Linked DNA regions of Drosophila melanogaster. The protein of the gene in region 1 purifies or fractionates together with the protein of each later gene. This does not show direct contact. Each region holds a gene or a part of one and is shown on either strand. Other genes may lie near its edges.

Region 1 (3,287 bases):
TGGCAATAAAACGACATTTATTATTGCTACCGAAGCATTTAATTGCCCATCACAAGAGGGTGTCACCTTCTCACGTTGCATTAACATCAAAATGAACTAATTCCTACTGGCAGATGAAAAATGGAACTGTCACCAAAGAAATTCTGCCTTCTGGAGTTGTGAATGTGCTCAAAAAAAAAAAAAAAATGGTAAGTATTGTACTTAAATCACGAGTTTCACCTGTTGCCTTTCCATGTCGTCAAAGACTTTAAAGATATTTAGACAAAGTCATGGCAGCTGACAAAAATCGGTCGATATGGGCAATAAATAAGATCACGTTGTGCAGTTTAAAGTTGGCATTGGCCATGTCACTACCGTAAACTTTCCATGCGGAAAAAACTTAGGCTGCATTCGTTCTTTGTCCCACAAACACAAATCCCTGGACATGTGGCCGTCAAGAAGTCCCAATCGCGGGATGGACAAGTGACGGCTGAAATGCGCTTCCAACTCATATTGCTTTCAACCAAAACAGAAATCATCGCGTGGGTAGCATTTTTTCGCATTGGCGAATACGAATACAATTTTCACGAAAAATATGTCAGCCACATGATGAAAGCAGGAAGTGTTCAAGATATATACAGAAGAAAGTATTGTGATGTATTGGCATATCAAAGATAGTCGAAAGGTGGAGATACAATTATTTTACAGAGATATTTTGGCGCTTTTGGCCGTCACACTCTTTGCATAGATGGCTCGGTAGATGTAAAAGCCAACTGCTGCATGAACTGCAACTACGGTGCAAATGGTCGAAATAATATCGGCATTGATATGGGCATAGCTCTTGAGCACCACAAATTTCAGGGCAAAAAAGGTGGCTATGGGAAAGCCAATTATTAGGGAACAGTAGGACATCAGCAGCAGGACAATGAACACGGATCCATGAATTTGGGTGTTTGGTGGCATCAGAACTTCCCACTCCAGCTTCTCCATGCTCGAAATCTCTTGAAGGAAGATCAGGCGCAGGATATAGCCCGTGACCAGGACATGCATCACAATTACCGTGGCTACGCCGGATCCAATGCCCACATTGTCATCGCTGTTTCCGTAGAGCGGCTCCATAATCAAGAACTTGAAGATGACGAAGATCACCACGGGAAACAGAAGGAAGACGGTCAGAAAGAGCAGCAGTCGCTGCATTCGTTCGACGAGATATTCGGCTCGCCTTTTCTGGAAGGGAATTTAGCGGACTTGGATACCGAAAGGATTTTGATTAGCTTACCTTGACATTGGAAACAAGTTCAGCATTGTTCAGATCCGCTGTGGAGCAGGGAGCGAGGGAATGGCTAACCACCTTTCCACTGGGATAAATCTTGCGCAGCTTGGCAATCATTTTGTCTATATTATATTTAACTTAGGATATGCAACTCAATGCCTACTTAAATTATTGTCTACGATTCTCAGATAGTCGTCTAATAATAGCACACATATTTTAGTTCAATAAACTTAAATCATTTTATTAGCAAATAAATATGATGCCCATAAAACTTGGCATACAAAAACAAGCCCAAGTCATTTTGGGCAATTAAGAGATCAGCAAACATAAAATTTTTTGCTGAACATAAAGATTGCCACCATGCGAGGCAGAAATATCTGGTCGCATGACTGGGGCGACATGACTATATAGTAATTAAACTTAACCTAATCACACCAGTAGCCAGTAGCCAGAAAAAGAACTTCGTCAGATTAGATATGTGTAATTAGCCAGACGGTGGAATTCGGGTAGAGCTATCTTGACCGATAAAGCCCTCCAATCAACGTCGTGATTTTTATAGCAACACTTGACTTAAAAACCGCGCCCTCGATTTATAGCAAAAGATTATTTGTGGGTCAGCTGACTGCAAGGGGATCGGTTTTTTCCCTAGCGAAATTAATTTGCCAGCAATTCATAAATTTAGAATACTACAAATCAATCGTTGGAATTTTCATTGACATTCACGATTCGGTTGTCAATTTTTCACAATTATATTGCGCATTTCGTTGGGTGTATTTTTTAGAGAAATTAGCAAATTTGAAGGCCAAAATTATTGTGAAAGATTAACATTCCATTTATTTCTCAGTTATTCACAAGAAAAGCATTTGGGGCTCATAAAGATTTAACAAACATAGATTACCATAAATCTTTGACGTTACATTCGCTTTAAATTAATAATCTTATCTAACTTTGAACGCACGTTACTCATACGCAACGTTGGCCCATTGATTTGAATGCAGAGCAGACTTCCTGGCTAAAAATAAAGCAATAGAATGGGAATTTTATGAATACGCTTATCCAATATTTTTCAACTGTTATGTCTGTGAATCATGCAAATTTTAGACCAGCCTCTGTTATCACTCAAAAGCAGCTGCTCTATAAATAATTTCGAGCGATAAAGAGACGGCATATTTGTGTTTTGGTTATTCGATCAGTTTGGCCTTTGATGCCGTTGCCAAGGGCTAACGCGGCATCCGAAAATAGCCAGCTTTGGTTCTTGTTCTAGCCAATCTTTATGGTCTGCCAGAGAACTGGCCCCCATCCAAATGGCCAACAGCTGTGTGAACAGCGGGAATGGCGTGAAAATAATGCAAATAATGAATATAATGAGAATTATGCCAAGTTCGGTATGAGAATCGGGTCAATATACCACAACCACTTCGACAGGTTGACAAATGGGTCTCGGATAGCTCATTAGTGTGGGTATGCTGGTCATGCAAATTGCACGACAACTAATGGCGAAACTATTTGCAATTCAACTCCCGCGGGGCATTCCACTCGCCCAATCCCAATCCCAATTCCAATCCTTCCGGTTCCATTTCGAAGAGTGTCCTTCAACCAACCGAACCAAAGCTGCTGTACTTATGTATGCATGCATATCATCGGCTTGCAGCTTGCTTCTTGTACGCACATGTGTGTACGGCAATTATGGTAATTGCCTTGTCTGGGCATCCGCTTCCCGTTGGCGTCCGTTTGTTTGCCTGGCCATCCAACCCCAACCAGACCAGTGGAGAGCACCGGATCGGCCAATTCAACCCATCCCGTCCTGCCTGACCTTGACTGCAGTTTCCCCTATTCGCTGGTTGTTCGAGGAGCAATCGGACTCGCTTTAACCTTGACAAACACGTTTTCCGTCACTTGAGAGTTGACCAAGTTTTATTGGTTGCCTTTGAGTGCAGCTGGTGAAAGTTTGCCCCCTTTATGCGTTTCCAGGATACAGCTAGAGAATTCTATACTTTTGTGACCTTCGATTCTCAATTATAAGTCGCTGGCCACG
Region 2 (4,516 bases), 800 kb from region 1:
GAGCACGGGATCCAGGAGCTGCAAACATGCTGGTCCAAGTAGAAAAATACACAAAACTCTGCAGAGTATGATCGCGACCTCAGTGCTAACTGAGCCGGCAGCGGCGGGGCAGTCCTCTCAGCAGCATCAGTTGGCGTTGAAAGAGGCGCATGAGCAAGCCCTTGCGCTTGGCCCGCTCCCTGGATCAGGAACGCGATGATCCGCCCATGGAGCCGGACCCGGAGCCGCCGCCAGCCATGCGCCGCTTCTTTTTCTTCTTGGCCGTCAGACTCTCCTGGCCGCTGTCCGTGTTGGAATCGCCGCCATCGTCGCTCTCCTCCTCCTCCGAAGACGAGGAGCTGCTCGACGAGGAGGAGCTTGAATTGCTGGAGCTGTCCGATGCGAAGCCGGTGCTCTCGTTCAGGTTAATACTATCGGCGATCTGGGCCAGCTCCGGTCGCTGGTCTCGCAGCACGCGCAGCCACTTGCGTGACAACTTTGGCCGGCCGCGAACAGTCTTGTGCCAGACGCAGGGGAAGTTCGTCTGCGAACTGAAGTTCTGGGTGATGGCAATGGTGTCGTCCATGTTGAGCACCACGTGCCACCAGCCGCCGGGCACGAATACAGTCTCGCCTGCTCCCTGCAGCACTTCGATGGGGCGGTATTGCTCCGGCCAACTAGGCAGCTGGGTGCGCGGATATATGGTGCTGAACCAGGTGATGGCCTCGTCTCGCTGCTTGCCACCCATGGCACTGGTGACCTTGAGCAGCTCCTTGGGCGTTTGGGTGGGGAACAGGCACCAGCGCTTGTGGCCGCGGATCAGCGTGTTCCAGGCACTAGTGCCCAGTGGATCAATGTGGATGCCGGTGCCGGAGCGAGCCGGTCCCATGACAAACCAGCGGTAAGGCGGACGACGATTCTCGCCGCAGTACTGGAAGAGGTCGTCGCGAAAATACTTGGGCACCACATAGTCATCCAGGAGCTTGCGCCGACGATGGTGTTCGCCGAAGCTGCTGTCGAAGATGTACAGCGGGCTGTCATCGCGCGTGCTCTGCATGTACTCCACGTAGTACTTCATCTTCATCTTGACGCTATAGCCCTCGTTGTCCTCGCCGCACTTGAACTTCTGGTTGCGATACTTCTTGGCCAGGCGGGCTAGTGTCCACTTTTCCAGCGCCAACCAGCCATCGGTGCAGCCGCGAATGACCACCGGCTTGTAGGGTCGCTCGAAGCGTTCGATGAACTCCGACTCCGGCACCTGCGACTCCTCGATCCGCTCCAGGTTATCGGTGAAATCCCAAAATGGCTCGAACTTCTCACAGTACCGCATGGCCGACCAGGCATTCTCGCCGTCCAGCTCCGGACGAGCCTTGCGCTTCACCTCACGTGTGCGCTTGCGGGAACGCTTGGGCAGCTTGAATTCCTCGCTCATCCTGCTGAAATTGGCCAATTTTCCACAGCTCCTGGAAATTAAAGCAGCGTGAGTGCAGTGTGGCCAGACGCCGCAGGTTCGAACATGCTGAAAACGCGACGCGGGACCGCACCTGGTCACTCAGCTGGTCGCCAGACAAGCACTCCTTTACTGGTTTTATCAGATGTTTACCGAGTAAACGGACATTTTCAAAACATTTCATTATTAAAGAATTGTACACAGGTCCAGTATGAACCAGCCCATACATAAAAGAACCTAAATGGTAGTAGTGCGCTACTACCCCATGTTCCCCATGTTCCAAACTCAACCGTTCCCCCACCAACGCTCACTTAAATTTAACCCTCGCGAGTGTAAGTTGTATTTTCATTGAGAGCCAGGGCTGCAAGACTTTAAGGTGACCAGCGTTTGTTAGCCAAATTCAAAGTACAAAATAAATAAAATTAAAAATAAAACTATTGTGAGCAGGATCTTTCATACTATCTGTGCTAAAGCACAGGCCTCAAAAGCAATGCAAAAATTAATGGATAAATAACTTAAGATAACATCTTAAGTATATCATACGATATACGATAGTGGAAGCCCTGGTTCGCTACGATTTCTCATGTGACAGCTGTGGGCGAATGAAAATAATGATAAGCCAAGTCGGACGAGGTGGAGTTTTTGAAAAGCAGTGTAAAATCGTTAATAACCAGGTGCTACCAACTCTTCCAGAGCTCTACAAGGTGCCGCTTCGCATTCTAGACCATCGCGTGTTCGTAAACGGCGAGATCGAGGCCTTTCTTGAGAACTTCGAGGTGCGGCGCAACGACAGCGAAGTGGAGAAACTTTTCCAGGTCACCGAAACAGTGGGATCTCTGAAGTACGATCTGTCCCGGTGCAGTGCAACCGGAAGGGGTAGCGGAGCCGAGAACCTCGCCCAACTGGACACGGAAGTCAGCCATCTGCTGGACGGGGTCAACGCACTCTTGGCGAAAGCGAAGGTGGAACGAACTGTTAGTGGGCCAGCGTAATCTCCGCCTGTTTATCATTGATTAATTGGTCTTCCGTTCGAATTGCAGGCTAGCACCCAGTTGCAGGAGGCGCGACTGGCACGTGAGCAACGCCGGGCGGAGTTCCTAACCAATTTGGAGCACGGCTATCGCCGAATCGAGAACTCATTCGAGGAGAAGGAGGAGGAAATCGCAGAGCTTTACTCAGATTTGCAACTAAAGCTTAACATTGCCAAGTAGAAACTATGCTGAAGTCAACGATTGTTGATCCGCGGGTGCGCCTTGTGCCGTCAAAGAAGCTGCTTGACTTTCTGGACGCCCAAAAGAAGCACTTAAAGGAGTTGCCCGAAAATGTGGCCAAGATTATGAAGCAAAGAGGCCACACACTGCCCACCTCTATTAGGATTATCAAGGATGCGGGCTTGGAGTACAAACGACCAAAACTCAATTACGAGCTGTTGACAAAACTAACTGAAAACCTAGCCGACAAACCAGAAGAACCTGCTAAGGATAAATCGGAACCAGATTCAGGGGTCAAGGATAGTGATGACGCAAAGTCAACAAGGGAGGTTAAACATTTCCTATACTTAACCGACCTGCACTGGCTCTCAAAAACACTGGCTGAACTGCGTCGTCAGGATCACTGCCAAGTCTTTCTGCATCAGCTAATTGAGTCCTGTGATCTGCTCCTGCCCGAAAACGAAATGAAGCCGCGCAATCCTGAGCTAGAAGCGCGCTGCCAACGTCTTCGCGCAGAGCAACAAAATCGGGATTACCTCAAAATGACCAAGAATGTGGATGCCGGCTTAAAACACTATCCAGAGGACACTATCAGCTATCAGAGTAAGTGAATACGCCCAGCTTGTTAGATCCGCCCTTTTAAAACCTTTTTCTTCTTCCCTTCCCTTTCAGTTAAGAGCCTTAACAAGCAAATCATTGCCGTGGTGCAGTTCATCTTCTCCGTGGCCGCTGGCTTTACGTTCGGCTTTTTCGGCGTCAATTTGATGGTGGGCCCGCTGCCTTTCGGCTTTCGCATCTTGCTGGGCGTGATTGTAGCGCTCATCATAGCCCTGGCTGAGATGTACTTCCTGGCCAAGAAGCTGCACGAGTACGATGAGGTCTTGGACGCGCCCAAACGTAAGCCGCAGCCATCGACGCCGGCTAAGCGCACCCCGCCCGCCGAGGGAAGTCAAGTCCAGACATTGAAACCCCATGTTGACTAGATAGATGATCTGCGAGTAAAAATCGTTCTTTGTCGTTGTATTATTTCGCTTTGCAATGTTAGGTTATATAAATAGCTGTAAAAGTTTTATTCTTTCGGAATCGGGGACTTGGATATCGATTATATGCTACGTATGCTTATTTCGACCGTGAATGCACACCCTATTCGTAGTGGTTCGGCTGTGGATTGGGGTTATTCCAGCCCTCGTCCACGGCATCAGATCCTCCGCGACCCAGCCAGGCCATAAGATAGACGAACAAGACAAAGGCCAAAATGCCGGCGGTCACCAGGAACCAAGTGCGACGCCACGGCGGCCGCGAGGAGGGCGCATAGAAGCGGCGTGTCCATCGCGAGAACAATTCCGCAGGAGTGCGGCGCTGGTACTTATTATCGTCTCGATCTGTCCCACCAATTGGCGACTGACGGGGCAGCAGCGGTCTTCTGCTGCTGGCTGCAGGTGCGTAAGATTATAATTATAATATGACTCAAAGTGTATGCTAGATTATGCGCACCGTAGTCGCCCGCACTTGGGGGATTAAATGCATCCATTAGGAGCACGGAATGTGGGCTCACGGCGTCATGGCCATTGGGCTTCGTGCGCTCTCGCTCGCCACCGGAATGGATGTGGTGCACTTTGGTCATGTTGCTGACAGCCGCCTGGCTTGCCACCTTGGGCTTAATGGCCTTCAGACTGCTGCTCTGCTCCTCAGAGAGCTGGGAAAGATTCAACATTTAAATTGATTACAAGCTTACTGCCCGGAATGCTTACCAGGGCGAGTCCCAGGCCATTTCTGCCCCAGTTAACCTGCGACAGGAAACTCTTCAGAGCATCGGCCACCGGGGAGACCAGGTTGGCGTTGGGAAAGATCTCCACACTGCAGGCGGGGCACTGGT

What was found.
Region 2: the proteins of CG13829 (region 1) and CG7071 purify together in Drosophila melanogaster (affinity purification with mass spectrometry, with the first as the bait; one large-scale study listed by BioGRID). This does not show direct contact.

The regions. Positions count from the first base shown.
Region 1 is NT_033777.3:23,159,950-23,163,236, forward strand, and holds CG13829 (uncharacterized protein), read right to left. Parts: upstream 1,390-3,287; 5' UTR 1,370-1,389; coding exon 1,259-1,369; intron 1,207-1,258; coding exon 682-1,206; 3' UTR 528-681; downstream 1-527.
Region 2 is NT_033777.3:22,360,885-22,365,400, forward strand, and holds CG7071 (uncharacterized protein), read left to right. Parts: upstream 1-1,735; 5' UTR 1,736-2,031; coding exon of another isoform or gene 2,032-2,062; exon of another isoform or gene 2,063-2,122; coding exon of another isoform or gene 2,123-2,403; intron 2,404-2,469; coding exon of another isoform or gene 2,470-2,640; 5' UTR 2,641-2,645; coding exon 2,646-3,243; intron 3,244-3,312; coding exon 3,313-3,623; 3' UTR 3,624-3,696; downstream 3,697-4,516. Other genes in the region: JMJD6 (jumonji domain containing 6), read right to left, coding at 185-1,411; muted, read left to right, coding at 2,032-2,062, 2,123-2,403, 2,470-2,640; CG5382 (uncharacterized protein), read right to left, coding at 3,784-4,073, 4,135-4,336, 4,392-4,516.